Caenorhabditis elegans: one gene and its partner. The protein of the gene in region 2 interacts with the protein of the main gene of each other region in a pairwise test. Each region holds a gene or a part of one and is shown on either strand. Other genes may lie near its edges.

What was found.
Region 1: the proteins of txdc-12.1 (region 2) and dhs-14 interact in a two-hybrid assay, tested with the Caenorhabditis elegans proteins (one large-scale study listed by BioGRID).

Annotation. Positions count from the first base shown.
Region 1 is NC_003283.11:2,763,235-2,767,150, forward strand, and holds dhs-14 (DeHydrogenases, Short chain), read right to left. Parts: upstream 1,967-3,916; 5' UTR 1,961-1,966; coding exon 1,924-1,960; intron 1,874-1,923; coding exon 1,446-1,873; intron 1,400-1,445; coding exon 1,229-1,399; intron 989-1,228; coding exon 785-988; 3' UTR 747-784; downstream 1-746. Other genes in the region: cror-2 (DeHydrogenases, Short chain), read right to left, coding at 3,037-3,243, 3,287-3,457, 3,760-3,916.
Region 2 is NC_003280.10:12,238,507-12,242,433, reverse strand, and holds txdc-12.1 (Thioredoxin domain-containing protein), read right to left. Parts: upstream 2,047-3,927; coding exon 1,839-2,046; intron 815-1,838; coding exon 462-814; 3' UTR 349-461; downstream 1-348.

The DNA of each region.
Region 1 (3,916 bases), on a different chromosome or scaffold from region 2:
TGTGATGACATTGTTTTCGTAGTTGCCGTAGTGTCAAACAAAACAGAGAGACGCAGGGTTTTGATGAGACGCAGATTTTGTGTCCGAGAGATCGAAAATTGCGAATGACACAAATAATTGTTCCAGCACAGTGAAAAAGAGTGTATTTTCCATTGGAAATTGTGAAGTTGTTCAATGAGAATAGATATGTTTTTTTTTGAAAAATTGTTTTTCATTCTACAGGAAAACTGAAGAAAAATAGATAAGAATTTCAAAAACAGAGTGAAATATTTCGAGCTAGATTTTTGTCTAACCGAAAAGTTCTCATATTTCAAGATTTTTTTCAGGTTCAAAACTCCAATTTCTCGCTGGAGAGTCTCAATTTTTATCCACCCCCAGCCCCGCCTAAGCCTAAGGATAAGCCTATAATATATATACCGCCTAAGCGTAATAATTAAAATTTATATATTTTTTTCAGATTCAGTGGCATCCAATAAAGCATGTTTTTAAAAATGGATCTGTCAATAGTAATTTATACCAGAAAATGTTAAACAAAGTAGGCTACCTTGTACGGAAGGTTGTTAGAGAAAATTGCAGTATTTGACCAAAAGCTATTTTTTCCAAAACTGAAAAAATACGGGAAAATCATAGGAATTATTTTTATTTTTTAATTTCACTTCAGGTTTTACTCTAGGCTCATGTTTGTGGATTATATCCGTCAAAGTTAACTCAAACGGAAATTTTTTTAGTTGCCTGTTAAAAACTTTAATAAAACAATTTACTTTTAAAAAAATGTATACAAAAATTATTGTTTCAAAAGATCCATAAAATTGTGTGCCTGCATTCCCATTACCAAAGTCGAACCTCCATCTGCCACAATCGACTGTCCAATAATGTATGAAGAGAGTTTTCGATCAGCCAAGAACGCAATTATATTGGCAATGTCGATGGGTTGCCCCATTTTTCCGCAAGGAATACATTCTTTGCGAGATTCCATGAAATGTCCATACTGAAAAATGGAAAATTGAATAATTTTAAGAGCTTGTAAAACCTACCCTGGGCTTCACCTACCTACCTTCCTGCTTAAAAAGATTTAAAAAGATTTAAAAAGATTGTTCAAAATATTTTTGAACAAGTGGTAAAAAATCAGATTTTCCTACAACTAAATTTTGGTAAAATGACGTGTCAAGGATTTGTATTTTAAGTAGGCAGATCTGCAAAAGTGCCTGCCTACTATGAGGCTTCTCACCTTCTCATGCATATCAGCAGGCATTCCCATTGCTTCTCCGAAACCTGTCACTACAGCTCCAGGGCTCACCGAGTTGACTCTAACCCCGTACTGAATAAGATCGATGGCAGCACTTCTGGTATATTGATCCAATGCGGCTTTTGACATTGCATAATACATGAAAGTTGGTTGCTAAAATACAGAAGTGGGTAAAAAAGTGAAGAGAAAAGGAACTAACAGCCTGTGGTCCTGCTCCGATGCTCGAAACATTTACAACTTCTCCCTTAGCCTTAACCAAATGCTCCTTGGCTTTTTGAGTCAAAGTAACCACACTTCTCATGTTAATTTGCATAATTCTATCGTAAACTGAGACATCTTGATCAACTCCAACACGTCCTTGATCGTCATTAAAAGCCGCTCCGGCATTGTTGACTAGAATATCAAGGCGCCCGAATTTTTGAATTGTAGAGTTAACTAGTTCATCTTGACCTTTTTCAGTCGCCAAATCAGTTGCAATCGACAAAACATGATCTTCCGGAACTCCTGACTTCAAAATTTCCTGTCTAGTTTCTTCAAGCCTATCAGCATTTCTTCCAGTAATCGTAACTTTTGCTCCTTCCTGAGCCAGAAGTACAGCAGTGGCTCTACCTATTCCGTTTGAGGAGCCTTCAATGATTCATTATAAAAATGAAGAAAAATAAATTTGAAAAAAATACCTGTCACAAGAGCAACTTTGCCAGAGAATCGAGTCATAGCAGTAGTGTAGAAATTAAATATTGATACTGATAATCAATGCTTTTATTGCGTGATTTTTTTGTTGAAATGTGGTCTGTGATGTGCTTTAAGCAAACTGTGGCAGCTTATATTGATAAGAAAATAAAAATATTATGTCAATAAATAATGACTAGACTTTTGATACCACAAAAATGGAAATTCCTTTTTTGGTGGTTCGAACCAATTTTTTGACCGATGTTATTCTGCACGATTACATTACATGCCCGATGTAGCCCTCTACCGCTCGGCTTACCGATTTTAAAGAAATTTAAATTTCCGGCAATTTTCCGATTCGCCGATTTGCCAGAAATTTTAATTTCCGGCAATTTTTCGATTTGCCGGTTTGCCGGAAATTTTGACTATTGGTAAAATGCCGATTTACCGTTTTTAGAGGGATTTTTTATAAGACGGAAACACTTAAAACTGTGCCTTTTTAAATTTTTTTCCCCGTTTTCTTTAGAAATTTTCATAGAATTTGCTTAATTTTTAAATTGTATGTAGGAACATTCACAGGATATTGCCGATTGAAATTGAAATTCTAAAATTTCAAAAAAAAATTTGCAAAACCACAATTTGCCGACAATTTTTAGCAATTGCCGTTTCCCGGCGAATTCAGCAAATCGAATATTTTCCGGTTTGCCGATTTTCCGAATATTTTAAATTCCGGCAATTTATCGATTTGCTGATTTGTCAGAAATTTAAATTCCGGCAGTTTGACGATTTGCCTGATTGCCGGAAGTTTATATTCCGGCAATTTGCCGGTTTGCCATTTTTCCGGATATTTTCAATTCCGGCAATTTGAATATTTGCCGGAAATTTCAATTCCGGCAGCTTGACGACTTGCCTGATTGCCGGAAGTTTTAATTCCCGCAGTGTGCCGTTTCACCGAAAATTTCAATTCTGACAATTTGAATTTTTGCCGGAATATCAATTCTCCCAATTTACCAATTTACCGATTTGCCAATTTGCCGGAAAACATAGCTTGCCGTCCATCCCTGTTTTGTACAACAAAATCACTAGTTCCAATATTTATTCACCACTAAATCCAACAAAATTTAAGATTGCTTCATAAGATCCGCCCAGTTGTGAGCATTCATTCCCAAGACCAGTGTAGATCCTCCATCAGCTACTATCGACTGCCCAATAATATAGGAAGAAAGCTTACGATCAGCCAAGAACGCAATAATATTGGCAATATCGATTGGTTTAGCTACAGCTCCAGAAGGGATGCACTCCTTGCGGGACTCCATAAACTTCATCATCTGAAAACTCGAAAAATTCTAGGAATTTGTGTCTTATGTTCACCTCCTCAAACGCCCCACTCGGCATACCCATAGCTTCTCCAAACCCGGTAGTGACACCTCCCGGGCTCACCGAGTTCACGCGTACCCCGTACTGAATAAGATCGATGGCTGCACACCTGGTGAATTGATCGAGAGCCGACTTTGACATTGCGTAGTACATAACTCCGGGTTGCTGGAAACATGCAAATTTTAATACTCATATTTGGGGACGGGAATCCAGGCTACCAGCAGGGCTGAGCAACAGGCCGAAAAATTACAGAAATCGCCGATCGCCGATCGCCGATTGCCGCTCACTCCTACTAGGCTACCAGGCAATAATTCGATTTGCAAAACTGATTTTCGATTGATCAAACTACTCTAAAATTAAGTCAGCGGCGAGTAATAAAATTCCCCGAAATCTAATTTTTCCTAGATCATTAAGTCTTACCAGAGCAAAAACTACCGGAGGTCATAATATGCTTTAACCTAGCTTACCGCATGAGCTGTTCCAGCTATACTCGAGACATTGACAATTTCTCCCTTAGCCTTAACCAAATGCTCCTTGGCTTTTTGAGTCAAAGTAACCACACTTCTCATGTTAATCTGCATAATTTTATCGTAAACTGAGACATCTTGATCAACTCCAACACGT
Region 2 (3,927 bases):
GCCTAAGCCTACGTCTAAGCGTAGGCCTGAGCCTAAGCCTGAGACTAAGCCTAAGCCTAGACCTAAGCCTATGCCTAAGTCAATTTCAAATGAATGCAAAATTCAAAAATTTCAAAAAATTAGTTTTTTCAAAAAATTAGTTTTCAAAAGTTTTTTGGCTGGAATTTCAAACTTTCCTGAATTTTTCAAAATGTCACAGATTTTCCTAAAACTTTTTTTTTTTCTAAAAAATTGGCTAAAAATTTTCAGGCACAAAATGCAATTTTCATAAGATTTTTAAAATTTTTTCGAGGTTTCGAAAAGGTTTTTGGCGCGAATTTAAATTTTTCGTAAAAACCGACGTATCGAGAACCAGTTTATTCGTGATAATAATTAATAATAGTTAACAAGATTGGCAAAGAAATGATAAGAAATAAATTAGCTGAAAATCAATCAATAAATCAATAAAACAATCTCTATTCTTACAATTCCTTCTTCTTTCCCTCTGGCTTCTTTGGCTTAAGCTTATCACCTCTCTTAGCCTCTGGAATGTCAACTCCAAAATGTTTAAGCACATCCTTCATAGAGTTAAGGATATCAGCTGGTGATGAGTAGTAATACGCGTAATTTTTGTATTCGGCCTTCTTATTTTTGAATTCTTGAAGAAGATCTCCATTTTTGTCGAGGAAAAGCAGACGTGGAATGTACTTTCCGTCTGGACGGTACTCCTCCTCGAATGGCTCGTCGTCGTCTTCGGTGTTAACCATTACAAAGTGCTCTGAGAGCTTTTTGAAGGCTTTCTTGGCGTTGGATTGTTGGAAGGTCTTCTTGAGAGCTGGAAAATTTGAAAATTCGAAATTGAAACATTTAAAAATTAGGCTTAGACGTAAGCTACAGCTTGGGCTTAGGCTTAGTCGTAGCCTTACACTTAGACTTAGGCTCAAACTTAGGCTTAGGACCCCAATAGATTTTATCCTTTTTTCAGATTAGTGGAATTTGTTTGGAATTTTTATTGAATTTTTGAAAGCTTTAAAATAATTTTTTATATAATTTTTGGAATTTTTAAAAAAATTTTGAGGTTTTTTCTCGCATTGGATTTTCTGGACTTGAAATATTTAAACTTCAAATTTTTTAAAACCAATTTTCAATTTTTTCACAAATTTTTAAACGAATACAATTATGTTTAAAGTTTCAAATGTTGAGTCATAAAAATTATAAATATTATTTTACATCAAATTTAAACTGTGGTTCGCCCACACACGGGTCCCATCACGTGAAAATTTTTGAATTTCCCAAAATTTGTACAAATGTGCATTTTTCTTAATTCAAAATTTTGCACGTTTTTTTTTGCAATTTTCGAAAAATATCAATTGAATTTCCCGATTTTTCCCTTGAAAACTATATGTACAAGCTTTGTGGTTTACAAGGTGTTCTGACACCATTCTTTGAATTAATAAAAAAAAGTGTGTCAAGGATGAATAAATCCCTCTCCTTTCTTGTCTTTGGTCGGTTACCCGGAGAGAAAATCGAAGCTGCAGTGGGGAAGGGACATGTGAATGTGCGCTCTATTGGACTAACTTGTTGAATAAAATGATTAAATTTCAAATTATTAGTGAAGCATGTAATCAATCACGCGGTGTCAGGGTGTCTCACTTCGGCTTGATCTACCTAGATCTACAAAAAATGCGGGAGAAGAGTCGCAGAGTTCTCAAATGATTTCGCATGATTAAGAACCTGCTGACGTCGCATTTTTAGAGCAAAAAATTCCCGCATTTTTTGTAGATCAAACCGTGATGGGACAGTGTGATACCACACGTATTATAAGAAATTGCCTAAATTTTCTCAACTGCCGCTCTTACCTTTGCAAGCATGGCACCAAGACTTGTGGATCAACAAGAAGATTGGCTTATCAGTATCCAAAGCAGTCTCAATTGCATCTTCCCACTTGACCCACGCAATATCGTCACCAAATCCACGTGCCAATGGGTTTTGAATAGAATCCTTGATCTTGTCGAAACTCGCGTACGCCGACGCACTCACAAGTGCCAAGAGGAGAAGGGATCTCATCTGGAACAACGGGGAATTGGATGGAGTTTTATACTAAACAGAAAATATAAGTTTAGCATGCAAAAAAAAGTGATCAGATACTTAAAAAAAACGTTATTAATGTGGTTTATATGTATAATTTAAATATTATTACTGTTGTGAAAAATATCATTTTTACACAACTCAAAATATTCACTACAATTTGTTTAATTGAATGTAAAAAATTTCTGATAATTTTCAAAAAAAAAAATTAAAATAATCCCCCAGCCCCACCTATGCCTAAGCCTAAGCCTAAGACTAATCCTAAGACTAAGCCTAAGACTAAGCCAAAGCCTAAGCCTAAGGCTAAGCCTGAACCCGGGCCTAAAACTAAGGCTAAGGCTAAGCCTAAGCCTAAGACTAAGACTAAGACTAAGCTTGAAAATGAACTGTTGTGACCTTTTTTTTCCAGCGTTTAAAAGCCATTGCTGTTATAAAAACACAACGATTATAAAGTTCTGTTATAAAACATACTACTTGTTGTTTTATAACAGAACTATATAATTGTTGTGTTATTCATTTAATGCCCGTTTTACGAAAAAATGTCGAAAAAGAAACTTTTTCTATGCAATCCCGTTGTTAATAATCTAAAACTAGAATTTTTTAATATCACTATCCTTTGTATTAGAAAAGCTGTATAAAAAACCACCTCTAAAAGTGAAAGGTATGACGAATGATGGAGAAAAGAAGAAACAGATCAAGATATTGAGGTCATTATCGAACTGCAAAAAACTAGCCAACGGTCGAGGTCGTACCGATGATAAGGATCTCGGTGTATCTATGGAGGGGTGATCAGAAACCATAAAGAAGGTGCTTTGATGAGTTTTTGCAGATAAAAAGGGTTATATCAATGATGTCTGGAAAAAAATATGAAGCAGAACGAAAAATTCAAAAAGCAACTACAATGTTTTGTAGCAAAAACATGATTCGGTGATTCAATTTTTTTTTGTTGGAAGTCTCATAAAACATTACTATTTTGCACATAATTTTTGGTAATGCATTCTAGAAATGGTGGTGGTTACTATATTTCGATCGATGTATATTTTAATAACTTTATGAATTATAATTAGGGTTTTTACAATTTTTTAAACAGTTTTCTTGGTTAGGATGATTCCCATATAAAAGTTAGTAATATATAATTTTAATAACGTTATTGAAAATAATTACTTTCACGAAAAATTAACCCGTTTGCTTGTAAACTGTATAGTTACAATGTTCATAACTAACTAACTAATTGACAAAGTAAAAAACATGTATTGCTTCATTTTATTTGCGTCAAACATTGTCTGATTTTATTAGTATGAACAATTCAATACTGTTAAATACTGACGATTTTTAATAAAATGCATTTAAGTATACTACATAATTAAAGAGCAACACTAAAGAAGTTATTCACGTATGTATGTCGTGAAATATATTAAAGGGGGAGTAGAGTTTGTAAGTATTTTGCTTAAATAGACTAAAACTGGTCCAAAACCACCGAATTTCATAATGAGACTTCACAAAAAATTTCCAAAAATTTTTTATAGCCGGTCAAAATTTCGAAAAAAAAAGAGTCAAATTTTGATAAAATCTGAAATTTTGCACACTTTTCTTAGTCACAGCCACTGAACTTTGGTTTTTCTGAAATTATCACCTTTTAATCCTTGTTTTGGTAATTTATCTCATTCGTTGATTGAGACAACTTTTAGGCCGATAGGCATCCAATTTTGATCATTTTTGGATGCCTATTGGTCTAAAAGTTGTCTCAATCAACAAAATTCCGCAGGATAAATTATCAAAATAAGGATTAAATGGTGATAATTTCAGAAAGACTAAAATCCAGCGGCTGTGACTAAGAAAAGTGTGCAAAATTTCAGATTT